Linked DNA regions of Stegostoma tigrinum. Each later gene encodes a partner of the first gene's protein in a complex. Links are inferred from orthologs where the notes say so. Each region holds a gene or a part of one and is shown on either strand. Other genes may lie near its edges.

Region 1 (7,683 bases):
GACTTGGGTCATAAAAGTGTCTATAACAATATAAAAGAAAAATGATTCACAGGAGCATCATTTGGCCAATTTTGCCAATGAGTCAAAGATGTATTATGAGTGGTGACCAAACACTTGATAAAATCAATGGATTTTCAGAAATTAGATCAGAAGGGAGAGAGGCAGAAAGGTTTAGAATGAGAATTCCAGAGCTTAGTGCCCAGCCAGCTGAAGGTATGACAGTCAAAGTTGGAGTAAAGGAAGTCAACAATGTGCAAGTAGTAGAAAACTATGGAGATTTCAAGGGTTGTAGGAGTGGCGATTGTTATAGAAATAAGAAGTGGTGAGGCCATATCCTCATGCCAGGCTTATCTATGTTTTAAAGCACAATTCACAACTTTGTTTCTGGTCTTCCAACTACATGTTACTGACCTGTATTTAAAAGTCATATTCCTTTACCCATTAATGACTAGAAAAGATAAGTAGATATCCCATCAACATTAATGTTTAGTGCCAATGTCGTTAGAGGCATCAGCATAAAAAAATCTTTATCAATAAGTGTCACAAACTCCAGTATTGCAGACAAGGAGTTATGAGAGGTAGTTGCAAACTTTGTGGTTCTGTAGTCAATAGATACTGCATTGTTATCCCAAAGAGTCATTTCAAATCGCATAATGCTACCAACAGAATCGGAACAAACTGTGCAAATTGGCAATTTTGACCTTCCTCAGAAATGAATCAGACAAGCCATCAGATTTTATTTTTGGCAAACACATAAATTAATTTGCAAAGAAAATGCAACAAAAATGACAATTCATTGACTCTGAAGAGTAACAGTTTAAACTGAGTTTCAGATGACCTTAGATTAAATGTAAATGCAAATGTATTAATTTTAAATTATGACTAAAATGGCAACAAAACAAAGAGTTGTGGATGCTGGAAATCTGAAACAAATCAGAAATTTCTGGAGAAACTCAGAGCTGTTGTGAAGAAGGATCACCAGACTTGAAACTTTGCTTTGCCTCCTCCTCTGACCTGCTCTGTTTCTCCAGTAATTTCTGTTTTTAACTTTAATGTTAATCTTGTGCAGGGTGGATTTCTGTGCCTGACTGGTTCTTTATTGTGCAAAAATTATTGTTACAAAATATTCCTATTGCAGCCTGAGAGATGAAAATATAAAGTTCTTTATTAAATAATGTATATAATATGCAGTAGCACAGATATACAAAATGGAATCTGTAGCAGCAGGTTTTATTAGGGAATAGTGCTATTCCTCTTGCTTTCCCATTTAGTGTCATTCTTTTAAAATCATTCTTTATACTATTGTACCCCAAATAGCCATTGAAATCCAGTTGAAGTATTTTTCAAACCATGTTCAGCTAAAATCGGGGTCCATGAACAGTTATACTACAAATCATTCAGCTGTGTATCTGTGCTGTTTTGTTTTGGTACACATCAGAAACTGCTCTTAGACAACTGGTACAGTTTTGCATTCATCCAGACTATTTTCTGGAGCATTTGCTCAACTGTGTTTGAAATATTACTTTGTTTTCCCATCTCTTGCTGACATTCCTTGTCTAATCTAGAAGTTCAATGAATAAACTGACTTATTTTGCTTCCATTGGGTGTACAATCTATAGTTAATATCTTCATGAGGGCCATGAACAAAATTGTAGGAGTCAAATAGAACTGTCTGCCAATGGGAGTTAAGTACACATTTTACTGAGTCAGTTACATTTAGTCAGTATTCCAAGCACTTGAGTAGCCAACATGTGTTATTGATAGGGACTAGAGAAACAACTCTCCAATGGTGGGATTGAACTCATTTCAATGGATCCAGGTCACTTAGTGAGAGAACACTGGAATGAGTAGGATGATTTGAACTACGTAAGATTGTCAAAAGATTGACAGTCAGGGAAATCCCATTGTACATGAGGGGAGTCAACAAGCCTTGGTTCTTGTCAATTTTCTGTGATATCTCTGGAGGCACAAAGGGGAGTGTGTACTCTTGATGCCAGACAAACATAACTCCTCCTTGTGGATTCCATTGTCTGTTGAAACTTCTGAGCACTTGGGAGACCAAGCAAAGTGTACAAAAGAAACTTATCAGTAGTTTTGTTTCTTTGTTGTTGCATAAATAATGTAAGCAAGCAAATCTGGTCTGAATGACGAAGTTCCTTCAGTTATTTCAATTCAACCATAGAAGAGCAGTAAAAAACATGGGAACATTCTGAAGAAGTCACACTGGACTCATAAGGTTAACTCTGTTCTTCTCTCTCCATGGATACTGCCAGACCTGCTAAGTTTGTTTCAGATTTCCAGCATCTGTAGTTTTTTTATTCATAGAAGAACATTTTCTGGTCCATCAGGTCAACTGGTGTATTTTCTATGCTGCTTACATAGTTCAGTGGTGCATTTTCTGAAACACAGCTAGACATTTACCTAACATCGCTTTTCTGAGGATCTGGTTAGTGGAGGCTTAAGATGTATTTACTGTAGAATTGAAGTGCTAGCAATATCTTAATTGGTAGCCCTTATACCTCTGAATCAAAAGTTGGGATTTCCAGACTGACCGTAGATGCCTGACTGTAAAATCTAGGTTGTTGTTCTAGTGCATTACTGAGGGAGGACTGAAATGCCTAATGTGTTGCCTTTTAAGGTGAAATGATAAAGTAAAAGATTTTAAGAAAACCTGTATAAGAAAATATATATCCTATGCAAGAAAACTATAGCACTATTTGAAGAAAATTGAAATAATTTTTGTGCACAGTACAGTAGTTATTCCCAAACCAGCATTGTTAAAATGAATTAGTTCTCTGATAATTTATCTCTGTTGTCTGTGTGCCCTACTGGGCATAAATTGACTGCTGTGGTTCCCACTTGACTGTTTTCCAGCATTGCCTCAGCTGGCAGCATGGAGACATAGAGTCATGCAACATGGAAACATACCCTTTGGTCCAACTAATCCATGCAGAGCATAATCCCAAAGTAAACTAGTCCCACCTGCATGTTCCTGGCACATATCCCTGCAAACTTTCCTATTCATGTACTTATCTCAGTGTCTTTTAAACATTGTAACTATGCCCACATCCACCACTTCCTCGGGAAGTTCATTCCACATACAAACTACCCTTTGTGTAAAAACTTTGCCTCCAAGTCTTTTTTAAATTTCTCTCCTCGCACTTAAAAATATACCTCATTGTCTTGAAATCCCTCATCCTAGGGAATAGACACCTATCATTAACCCTATCTAAACTCTTCATGATTTTATAACTTCTCAACTTCCTGTGCTCCAGTAAAAAAAGTCCCCGCCTTTCTTTATATCTCAAATCTTCCATACTCTGCAACACCCTGGTAAATCTCTCCTGAACCCTCTGTATTTTGATAATATTCTTCCAATATTAGGTCAAACAAAACTGAACACATTACTCCAGAAAAGTCCTCACCAATGTCCTGTACAACCTCAACATGATTTCCCAATGCCTATACTCGAAGGACTAGGCAATGAAGACAAATGTGCTAACTGTCATGTTTCAAGTCCCACTCTACAACTTGAGCACAGCCATTCAGATTGATGCTCTAGTCCAGTACTAAGAGAATGAAGTGTGGTTTGTTTTCACTCTAAGACCTTGTCTTCTCTTTTATGTGATTATTATGGGCCGCACGGTGGCTCAGTGGTTAGCACTGCTGCGTCAGAGCGCCAGGGACCTGGGTTCGATTCTGCCCTCAGGCGACTGTCTGTGTGGAGTTTGCACATTCTCCCTGTGTCTGTGTGGGTTTCCTCTGGGTGCTCTGGTTTCTTCCCACAGTCCAAAGATGTGCAGACTAGGTGGATTGGCCATGCTAAGTTGCCTGTATTGTTCAGGGATGTGTTGATTATGGCGGATGGATCTGGGTAGGATGCTGTGTGGGTCGGTGTGGTCTGTTTGGGCAGAAGGGCCTGTTTCCACACTATAGGGATTCTATGATGACTCTATGCGAGGTGGTAATGTAGCGATGATGGCAATACTTGGAAGAGAAAGGGAGTAATTCCTGGTGTCCTGGCCAAAGCCTATCCCTCACACACATCATATGTGCGGATTACACGAGGAGGACCAACAGCGGATGGTGGAATCTTGCTGTGCGCAACCTAGCCCCTGAGTTTCCCGTGTCGCAGCACTAACTGCATCTCAAAAGTACCGGATTGCTTCCAAAGGGACTTGAGAGATTGCGTGGTTGCTAAAGACGCTACATAAATACAACTTTTTCTTAGGCAGTGACAACAATTCATTTTGAAATACCCCAAGGTCATGGGGACGGTGCAGTTATTTGATCATACCTGAATTTGCTGCGTCCCTCATTCCATTGCCCCTACAGAAATCCTCAATGGTTATCATGTAAACATCTTTGCCAAATCCCTAAATAATATTTACAACGAAGCATTTATCTGGTGATGACTTTGATTTGAAAAACGTCACCAAATAAAAAACATACTGGATATCATTCACCTTGGAAAATTCCGTGACTGTCTGTCCAACACAACAACAACTTTTAATCATGTGCCAATTATGGGGGTGAATCCACTCTTGCATGATATCAGTCACTTGTCTTTCACCACAAGAACAGAACTGGTGGCTGGGGATGGTGTGTGTGTGTGTTGTGTGTACGTGACACTATAGCGTGGAGGCTCAGAGCTCCAGAGAGATGCTCGGCAGCGACAAACTAGCAGGATGTGAAGCGTGCACTGAGTTAGCAGCTGAGGCATCCGCTTTACTCGGCGGCAAATAAGGAGACGGCGGAAAACGAGAATCAGCTCCTTACGACGGCTACCGAACGAGTATGTATTAAAACAAAGCCAAGGTGGAGAAAGGGGAAGAAATCAGAGTGAAAGAGAGAGAGAGGGAGAGGATCATTGGAAGACAGAAGCGTACGGGAGCGAATCGCAAGTCTATAAACTCCACGGCAAACGGCATTCTACAAGTAGGTCTGATGTGAATGATTGAAAGTACAACTCAAGGTACACGCGAATGAAACCAAGTTTGGGGATGTGTTGATGAAAGGATTTAGGGAACCGGGCTTGAAGGGCCATTCGATTTTGAAGCAAGCCATTCAATTGCGCTAACTCTAGAGCAGTCTTTACTTTGCAAATGTACTCAACGTCCATGTAATGTGTTTGATTGTTACAATTTAATTGCAGTTGGTCAATATGGATGAGAACCAAAGCAGTATAGAGACCAATGACACAACGGCTGGGAACCTGGCCGCAGGACAGCAGCAGCAGATCAACGCTGACGGCTTCATTGTCCTCTTCATCTTCAGCCTGATCTTCTGCCTCGGGGTCCTTGGCAACTCGCTGGTTATCACGGTGCTGGCCCGCAGCAAACCGGGCAAAACGCTCAGCACCACTAACATCTTCATCCTCAACCTGAGCATCGCTGACCTCTCCTACCTGCTGTTCTGCATCCCCTTCCAGGCCACCTACTACGTGCTGCCCAGCTGGATCTTCGGCGGCTTCATTTGCAAGTTTGTCCACTACTTCTTCACCGTATCGGTGCTGGTCAGCATCTTCACCCTGTCGGCCATGGCCGTGGATCGTTACATCGCTATTGTCCACTCGCGAAAGTCCTCCTGCATTCGGGTGACCAGGAACGCTGTCCTCAGTGTGATCTTCATCTGGCTCCTGTCCCTCGCCACCGCTTCGCCGGTCGCTTATTACCACATGCTGGTTCACAAGAAGGATCAGGGTCCCTTCTGCTGGGAGAACTGGACCGTCCTCAGTCACAGGCAGATCTACAAGGTGGCCACTTTCGTGGTGGGCTACCTACTGCCCCTGCTTCTCATTTGCTACTGTTATGCCAAGGTAAGGCCAGTAAACAAAAACAGACTCCCACATCTGCAGGATACTGCCGCCCCTAGTTAATAGTTTTAGATGGTGATTGACACTTGATAGATTTGAACTCACTCATTCTATTGGAATCACCCTCGTCGTTCACGGCACGTTTTTCCCAATCTCTCCTCATGCCGAGACACTTTACGGCAGTCCAAGTCAAACTTCTCCCGATTTAATGGTCATTCCACGGGGTGTAGGGCAGTGAAAGGGGGAAGGTGTATTCCTGTGAAAGTACTTTTCCATTTTTGATGATTTCTCGTATAACATGGTTCTGACTGCTGGGAATCCATATCTTTGCTGGCTGGATTTTGTAAATTAAACACACACACACACACACACACGCTGCGCTGGGGGGGATAGGTTAAGTGAACATCAATCTTGGAACTTCAACTAGAATTTGAGACTACTTTTAGCTTCAAAAATATATTTTATTCATTAAAATATATGTGTATACATTCAGTGACTAAAGCAGTTCTATTCTGTACGGAAATATGTGAAGAAAACAATCAAACATTGAAGTTTGAGTCTGAGGCATGTTCCTTTGTCGATTGTTACCTCAATCCTAAAGTTGCCATCTGCTGAACGCCTTCTTGTTGGGCAGCAACCATTAGTGGTGACGATTTGGTCTGCCTGGATTTCAGTTTAGGAAAATAACAAGCTTCAGCTAGTACAATACCTGTTAAACTGCACGGACCTACACACAAGTGTGAATGCATAGCTTTTTGAGGCTGGGACGGTGAACGATTTCTTTTGACAATGTGACAGGTATAACAATGTTAATTACTGGGTTTGCATCCTGCAACTCCCTCAACTACAGAGCTCTGAGTGTCCCTACACCTGCAACAGTTCAAGAAGGCAGCTCACAACTACCTTCTCAAAATCAGGTGGAGGTGGACAATAGATGCCAGCCTTGCCATCATTATGGAAGAACAACAAATGAAAAACAAAAATTCTGATCTATTTTACCCAAGTCGTTAAGATCTTAAGCTCAACACCTTCTGTGAGGAACAGGTCTAACTAGACTTTCCTAAGACAAAAGGTGATTTTCTTGGAAGAAAAAATGCTCATGGATTGACAGCTCCTGAGAAAAAGTCACAAACTAAACTAATTTTATGAAAAACTTGCAATGAATTATTGAGAATAAGTTGGTGGAATGAGTAAGCTAACCAAAAACACAGGACCACATTAGACATAGGGCACAAAGCAGCCCGTGTGGCATTCATTTGCCACTTGACACTTCATCCATTTTTCTGAATCTAAATCTAATGTTCATAAGTCTGTATTCCTTTGCCTTCATATGATTCTCTACCCTCCTCCTAAATGTATCTGTCTATTGACTTCATCATCTTCCTATGATCAGTTATTCCACATTCTCATCAGTCTTTGTCTTCATTGATATTCCACATTTCACTTCTAGGCTATAACTATGAAATAAAAGCATTTCTGATTCTTTCTCTACCACCGTCTCTGTGTGCAAAAGATGCTAACTTAAATGATTTTTTGAACCTGATCAGTCTTAAACAAGGTGCAGAGAACTGCTGCTGATATTTTGGTGAACTGGCCTGCTATTCACAGAACCCTGTAAGTTGGTGTGGAAAGTGAAAAATGTTGACGTTGGCTTAGCAGGAATCTTCATTACAATTTGAAATGAAGTCATTTGGTTGAGGAGCTGCAGATGTAACTTTCTACTTGGTTAGGTTGTCTATCATCAAGGATTATTCATCTGCCGTCTGCAATCTGACCCCACTACCAAAGACATTGTTCCCTCCCCACACTTATCTGCTTTCCAGAGGGACCACTCTCTCGGTGACTCCCTTGGCTGCTCCACACTCCCC
Region 2 (8,200 bases), on another chromosome or scaffold:
CCCCAGTCTCCGTCAACACATAGAACACAGTGCCCAGTGAAAAAGCAATTTGGGGAAACAAACATTCATTGAGAACACAAAAGATATATGCAAACTTTGTCATTGCTAAAGTTTACAGTACTTGGAAGTGCATGATAAAACAGAGGTCAGTCAGCATGGCTTCGCCAAGGGGAAGTCAAGCCTAACAAATCTGTTAGAATTCTTTGAGGTGGCAATGAACAATGTTGACAAAGGAAAACCCGTTAATACGACCTATCTTGACTTGCATTATTCAGTTTAGGAAGTATGCTCAGAATGGACATGTTGGGCTGAAAGGTCTGTTTCTACAGTGCAGAACTTTATAGTTACATCTACATTTCATGCAGAGTGAGTTGATTTCAGCTGAAAAAAAGTATATGAACAATCATCTTGATCACGTAGAGAGAATAACGTTTGGCACAAAAAAACTGATTATTAATTACTGCTACTTGCAGGGAGGTGCATAAATCTAGGGGAGATACTAGGGCAGGACACTTGTACAGCTGACTAATCACAAAATAATTCGTAGGATCTCAGTTTTCAAAAAAAAAGGATAATGAATGAGATATTTCAGATTTTTCTCCTCTAGATTGGATTCCACCAATTAACTGTTATGCTACACATTACATTAAGATATAGCCACACATTACACCAAGATATAGCCAGAGAACAGATTTGTAAAATTCCAAATTAGAAATATGGACATTACTTGGAAGGTTGGCATTTATAGCCAAGTTGTAGCTGACTTGGAAGAGATGTAGTTGGAGGAGATGATAATGGACCATTTGCTTAGACTAACACCATTTAGGATAAAACATATTCCCACAGTGCTGTTAAGTTCAACATGCCACCAACTGAAATACTGTTCAGATATTTGACAGGGAACATCACAGCTTAGGAATTGAGATAGAGGATTGACATTATCTTAAACATATTACAAATTTACAATATTATTTAGCACTTGCTGAAAGAGTACTCACGTGGTCCTAGGAGATATCCTGCGCTGTTTAATGTCCACCCCCGTTTATCTTTTGCCTGCTGCAGAAATATTTCATGAACAACTTTTAGGTACCAGAATAACAAAACATCCACGTATATTTTAAAACACAAAGCTACTACTTCCAGAAGGGAAGGTTAAATTGCACTAGTTCCCTTTTGAAATGGTGAATAAAAATTAGGGTACAATACTGAAAAATAGCTACAGTTTTTAAAAGCGATGTCATCCTCCACAAATTGATGACTCCATAGTTTTCTGGTCCTCATTTACAATGAATAAAAGAAGGAAAACTGAGCCGTACAAAATACCCTATTTAATAACTTGAGGGTTGAGAATTCCAAAAACAAAACAATTTTGACTGAAAGACAAGAATGGTTGATGAGACATTTAGCAAGATGCAGTGCAAATTTCAGACTGAATCATTCGTAAAGAGATGGGTTTGACTGAATGGACAAAAAGCAGTAGATGCGCAGTGAATAGAATAATGTTTGCAAAAATAAAAGAAAAAACACATTCAAAACAAAAAAAAGGTACTGCAGGGTAGATAGCACTTAAAAAAAATCCCATCAGTGGTCCTGATGGGTAAACTGAATCAACAGAATAAGACCTGATCCGCAATTTTAAACATACATACTGCCGTTAGTTAAGATAGCCTGGTGATATACTGATTTGCGCCGTACAAATTCTGATTTGATTGTGCCGTTCTGAGGTGGCAAAGACACCTGTCCGTAGCCAGCTGGGAGCAATAAAGTCTCAGATTTATTGTTAAACCCTAACTTGAATGAATAAACTGCCACAGCTTTCTTGGTATATAAAAGGCAACGAGAACATGATCTGGGACTAAAAGAAGCCACTTTATGCTCTTGTCAAGCCAGATGAGGTGCTTTTCCAGACCTGGCAGAATATTTAGGTCACCTCTGCCTTGGAGTTGGAGTTGATTTCTTCCCTCACAAGACTGTCTCCCAAAAACTCTCGTTTATGATTCATCTTACTTGAGAGCCTTTTCTTTACGGAAACCAATATTGTCTTATTTCCTACTCCACTCGTGCACATTTTCCCAGTGTCACCTTTTGTCCATTTTGGGCAAGCAGCTACTAAAGTCTGTGGAGTTAAAACGTTGAGAGACTAGCTTTTGGTGGACACCTCGCCCCGGTACAAATCCTTTGAGTAGTTAAACTTCACCTTTCGGGAGAATCAAACCTACACGGTAGGGTTTTTCTGAACAGTTTTCACCAAGCCATCTGAAGTCTCTCTCACTCCCGTTCCGCCTTCATCGTTCCCCAATATTCCCCAAATGCTCTCAAATGCACATGTTTCGGGTGACCTTTATTGCATGGTATAGCCAAAGACCCAACGTCCAGAATTATCATACAATTTCAAAATCAGAAATAAATAGGCAGCATCAATAGTATGCCATTTCCATTTTGAATAGTAACGTTTCAACTGTTATTTAATAGATGGCAGTCTGCAGCAGAGATCCCTTAATCCTACTCTTTCTCATTTTGAGTATTTACTTTTCCCTTCTCAGTTGTTAAAATAATATCTGCCATGCGTTTAAAACACTATTTTCGTCTCGGATTAACAGTATTAACATTGTCGTCCGTATGATTATACTCTGACATTTTTAAAAACCAATCCTGTATTTATGTAGAAAAGGAGAAAGTCGCGAAATGGGCAGCGTTAGGTCCAAATTTACGCAGAGAAATTTGGCACACGATACATGGAGTATCTGAACTAAGAAATTAGGCACTTCAGAAAGAACTCACCGAAAGAACTAACCCGAAAGAATGGGAGACGGCGACACACAAGACTAGAGAGAGACAGAGGAGACTGGCAAATCGTGGCATCTGAAAAGGGAGGGGAAGAAGAAAATAATAGAATTCCTGAAGAACTATCCCAGAGAAAAATAGAACATCATTTTAAGACAACAAAGTAAATAGATACTTATTGGCATGACTATTGCGATCTTACCCTGTTTTTCCTCTGAGTGTTTTCTTCTAAATTCGACGATATGATCTGCTACATCAAATGGTTGAAGCCCCGACAGTTGCTGAATTAACAACTTTGCTTCTTGACGAGAGCAATATCTATCATCACAGAAGTTATTGTCGAGAGTGCAGCGGGCTGTGTGTTTATATGCGAAGCCGATCGGCTCACCAATCTGCCTCCAGCGTCACGAGCTCTATTTTCTCTGTATGTCACTCCCATTAGATCCAAAATTACACCAATTAAATGAAATATACTTTTAGGTAATTTGGCTGCAGAAAGACACGAAGCAGATAATTACATTTGACGAGTGCACTGTCCCAACGGCTGGCTGCCCAACGGGTAAATTGCCTGGTATATACTAGCTATGAATTGTCACATCTGACTTCGAATCAAACACTTCGTCTCCGCGAGTATTGAAATTATTTTCTTTCCTCTCCAGACCCTTATTTTTTGCCGTGTATGACACGCATACTTTCTAAAAAATACAAAAACACTGACACTCCTTTGTCAGAATTAGGTTGTAGTTTTTTAAATTCTTCCCCGTGACTAGTGAACCGATATTGCAGATCAAAATATCTGCAATTTCAATGCTTTTTAATCCTGGATATAATTGGATATAAAAACACGTCGCTCTATGTCATTACTTATTTCCACAATTGTAAATACAAGCGGTTGTCTTAAGCTGGTCACAGTTTCTGTTGTAAATCAAGGTTTACAGGCTTCAGAGACATCTTTTCATTCGTTTGGGGGAATGGGCTTTTTAAAAAATTAAATAATGGAAGTGTACAACCCAGGTTCACAGCTTACAGTTAATTAGGTCGACAAAGCAGTAATATTTAGATGACACTAAATTTAGTACTCAAAACCTTTGTAAATTTTAGATGAAAGGAACTACCGATGAATATATGAAATTTCACTGGTAAGGTACTGGAAAAACAATACAATGGTGCAATCTTCCTTGAGTTCAGCATTGTAGGGTTATGTGTTTTGAAGATCATTCAGGGAATTCACCTTGCTGCACAATGTTGTTTGTAATTATGGATAATGAAGATAGAAGCTCCAACTCTTTCCATCACACGGCTGAGCAGGAATCAAACCCATTCTTATATTGGAAAGATTCGCAGTTTGACAACAATGTATTTGGCATGAATATACCTCCTTTGATCATCAAATGGAACTCAAACCGGAGCTTCTGAATCAATGGCAGAGACCGTTGCACCACAAAATCTTCACTAGGGATCTAGACGTATTAAAAATGTAAGGCTTTAAACAGCTGCACACAATTCATCTGTGTTACAGCAAGAATTTGTTTTGGTGTTTGTTGTTCATGTCCTCAGAGTGTCATGAAGTTATTTACATCCAATTTAATTGTGTTATCCTCAGGTGAGGAGGAGTGATCTGCTTCTCTCAATATATGCCCTTCTTGGTAGGCCACAACATTTTTTTAAGATCACACATATTGAGCTTTATTCAAAAGGTAATTAATTAGATCAAAATTAAGGAGTCAAATTGCAAAGTTTTCTTAAGCGAAAGAAAGGGTATTCTTCGGATTTAAGTTTAACCATGCATATTCCGACACATTTAATAAAGGGACAGAAAGGGAGAATCGCGAGAAACTGAATATTGTATAAACAGAATACAGTTTTGCATCCGAAGAAGAGTTCTCCCAGTGCCCTGACTGATATTGTTCCTCTCACAGCAACACCAGAGGCACGTGCCTCCGTGGCTGTTCATAGTTCTAGCAGATAAATTGTGTGGTATCTTTCAAAATGAACAATTCTTCGTGGAGAACTCAGAATCTACAAACTTCACAACGACTGAAGAAACAAAATAGCTAAAACAGGCTTGAAATCTAACACAGCAACAAGGATTCTAAGCTGCAACTGTCTTTACTTTCTTGGTTATACACATATCATCCACATCCATTTTAAGCTGATTATTTGTGCCTGATACCTTATTATTTGTTTGATGTCACATTTTTTCTTCATTATCTTTCGCTCTAGAAAACCTTGCAATTTGGCTCCCTAATTTTGATCTAATTAATTGCCATTTGGCTAAATTGTAATAGCTGATCACCTCTCCTCACCGTGTAGCGCGGTAGAAGTGTCCCTAAAACGAGACACCCGGATTCAAGTCCCACCTGATCGAGAGGTGAGGAATGACATTTCTGAACAGGTTGATTCGGTACGAAAAGGTCAGTCAACGCCTTAGGATTGCAATAGTTAACGTGACCATACTTCTCTTCATACGATTATTTCCAAAATTTTCAGAAATTATTTCACATGTTCAGCCTTAACACTAAATCAGAGCGAAAGACCTTCAAAATCCCACGTGATGTTCAAGATCATGTGACAGTGAGGCTGGCGCGCGTTCTGTAGCCAAGTCGCATGTGTAGTTCTGTACCTCGTTCAAATGTGTTTGGTGTTCGGAGCGCGTGGCTTTCGGTGAACTGCCGGCCCGGGACGGAAATCATGGGGGTGGTGTTCAACGGAACGTGGGACTTATCGTGGCGCGTTGTTACTAAAGGCGATGGCATGTTGAACATGACCAACTTGGACTTTGAAGAATTCCGAAGGAAAAGTTTGACGAAGAATATACATTTCAAAAGAAACGCCATTCACGTCATCGCTGAAAATCTGCCGCACGTCATTCTGTTCATATTTGGAACCTTTCTATTTGGAGGTAAAAGTCACGGTCGTTATGTAGACCGTAACTTACATCAACGAGAGATGGCAATGGATGATTCGAGTTTGTGCACCATAGTTACAGTTATTTTGATGAGGATGACTGTGTCAAGTTTGGAAATCTGATTGGAAAAATTCAATCATAGAATTTGAAGAAATGGGTGACATACACGGACTTTTAGAAGAACTTTATAGCGCACGCGGTAGACTCCTAGCTAAATTCATAGCATGTTGAGCACAGAATGGCTGTAAACCCGGCTATGAAACAGAAAGCAGTATGTTTAAAGGTTGGCCACTTAAAGTCGTGGAAGGTGGGAAGTGGTACTGTAGAGATGTTTGTTGGAACAACATTCATAATTTAAAGGAAATAATTTGGATTCCAGAATCCAATACTATACCAGAATGTGCTAATTGCACTAAAGATGACAAAATACAAAGAGAGTTTAATACATTTTCAGAAATTAGTGTGATTCTAAGCTGGGCGGCGTGGTGGCTCAGTGATTAGCACCGCAGCCTCACAACACCAGGGACCCGGGTTCGATTCCAGCCTCGGGTAACTATCTGTGTGGAGTTTGCACGTTCTCCCCGTGTCTGCGTGGGTTTTCTCCGGGTGCTCCCGTTTCCTCCCACAGTCCAAAGATGTGCAGGCTAGTTGGATTGGCCATGCTAAATTGCCCGTAGTGTTCAGGGGTGTGTGGGGTTATAGGGGGATGGGCCTGGGTGGGATGCTGCAAGGGGCGGTGTGGACTTGTTGGGCCGAAGGGCCTGTTTCCACACTGTAGGGAATCTAATCTAATCTAATCTAAGTGTGATGGTGCATTTTGGTAGGAAAAATAAAGAAGCTATCTATTACTTAGAAAATAAGAAATGAAATGGGACAGAAGAGTAAAGAGATCTCGGGGTGCAGGCTATATTGTGAAATAGTGGTTATTCAATCAGATCAAATTAAAAATGCAACTGTTGACTTCCTTTCTAGAAGTAATGGAATTTGGAATTGTTGAGTTACGTTAAACTGTAACGTAGGCCCTTAGATAGATCACACTCAGAATACTGTGCCAAGTTCTAGTCTGTTGTACAAAAGAATATAAAAGCTTGGAAAATCATAAAAATGGATTTACAAGTATGATATCAGAGCTGAGAGGTTTGTTTTATCCAAAGAAATGGCTGAGTTGTGACCTGATCAAAGGCTTCAGCGTTATGAAGGGGTTCATGACGCAGATGTAGATGGACTTCAGGAAGGAATTTACTAAAGGCTTATCAAGAAGGTAGAAACTCATGGAATTAAAGGCAAATTGGTGGTATGGATTTGCAATTGGCTCAGTGATATGTTGCAAAGAGTAGTGGATTGATGCTTTTGAGACTGGTATACTGTTTCCATAGGTTTTTCTCAACCATCATTTGAGTCAGTTATTCAATTTTTATTAATGACCAACACCAGGTGTCAGCAACCCTTTTAAAGTTTTTTTTTAAAGAAAGGCCTAAAATGAGAACTTTAGGAATCTCAAGCTGAAAGTTTGACATTCTTAAGTTAGATATTTGGCAACTTGTCAAATGTCTTTATAGGATGCTAAATCTGCTCATTAAATTCAATGCTAATGTTTTTAGTGTATCAATAGAAAATAGATTTAACTCTCATCATTGCATTTGTACTTTATTTTCTTTTTCATCGTAATATTACCTTAATCATCTTGAATTAGGGTGCATAGAATTGAAAGCATTTTGTAGGTTATGGATTCTCATAGTTAGAAAATAAAAATTGATGCATATTTGGAATAACTTGTCTTATGAAGCATATTTGAAATAATAATGGTTGTGACCATAAAACCTGTCTATTGAAATAAAGGCATTATCTCTAATCATGCATAGCTGTATATATTCAAACAGAAATATTTCAACCATGTTGGTATTTTTTGTTTAAAATAATTATTTAGAAATGTATAGTGAATGATATTGTGGAGACCTAGCAGTGGACTGCCTGGAAGTATTGTGGACTTTAACTTCAAATTTTCAAATATACTTCCTAAAAGAATGCTGGTACAGCCAAAAATGGCAGTCGATGTAAATTTAAGTGGTTGTTTGGAGGGAATACCCATCACATGTCACACTGGATGCAAAGGAAACTCTTGTTAAAAAAAATGAGAAGGGAGAGGCAAGTCAAAACAGACTGGATGGTGATTTCCTGTGAATGCAGTGATGATGAAGGGTTGACTACCCCTGTTGATTATGTGTCACACTGCAGACATATTTTGTGCTTTTTCCTTTGAAGAGTACACAAGGATTAAAAATCATTTTCAACTCTGTGCTAATTGCACTGAAAGTTTTTTTTGTGTGTGTACACAGATCAGCCGGGGCTTGAGCGTTAGTTTGCTGTGAAGGTCACATCTGAAGAATTAACTCCAGTCATCCCTGTGTAGGACAGGACAACTCTCTCTTGATGAATGCTGAAATTTACTTACATTTGAAACGAATAAGAATGATAGAATCTCAACCAATCTGCAAAGCTAAGGATTGT

Evidence for each region.
Region 2: the proteins of galr1a (region 1) and galanin peptides are in contact, whole or in part, in a cryo-EM structure (PDB 7WQ3), measured with the Homo sapiens proteins. The link is inferred for Stegostoma tigrinum from reciprocal best matches to the Homo sapiens genes GALR1 and GAL. Residues at the interface, in NP_001471.2 of Homo sapiens: Glu32, Gln92, Thr94, Val95, Tyr96, Leu98, Pro99, Thr100, His112, Gln174, Phe177, Arg180, Gln184, Phe186, Cys187, Trp188, Glu189, Gln190, Ile266, His267, Ala270, Phe275, Leu277, Ser281, Phe282, Arg285; in NP_057057.2 of Homo sapiens: Gly33, Trp34, Leu36, Asn37, Ser38, Gly40, Tyr41, Leu42, Leu43, Gly44, Pro45, Val48.

What each region holds. Positions count from the first base shown.
Region 1 is NC_081358.1:41,256,659-41,264,341, forward strand, and holds the start of galr1a (galanin receptor type 1), read left to right. Parts: upstream 1-4,675; 5' UTR 4,676-4,938; intron 4,939-5,155; 5' UTR 5,156-5,164; coding exon 5,165-5,818; intron 5,819-7,683. UniProt on the Homo sapiens protein: Receptor for the hormone galanin. The activity of this receptor is mediated by G proteins that inhibit adenylate cyclase activity.
Region 2 is NC_081370.1:17,401,919-17,410,118, reverse strand, and holds the start of galanin peptides, read right to left. Parts: upstream 3,147-8,200; 5' UTR 2,987-3,146; intron 2,863-2,986; coding exon 2,782-2,862; intron 1,057-2,781; coding exon 999-1,056; intron 1-998. UniProt on the Homo sapiens protein: Endocrine hormone of the central and peripheral nervous systems that binds and activates the G protein-coupled receptors GALR1, GALR2, and GALR3.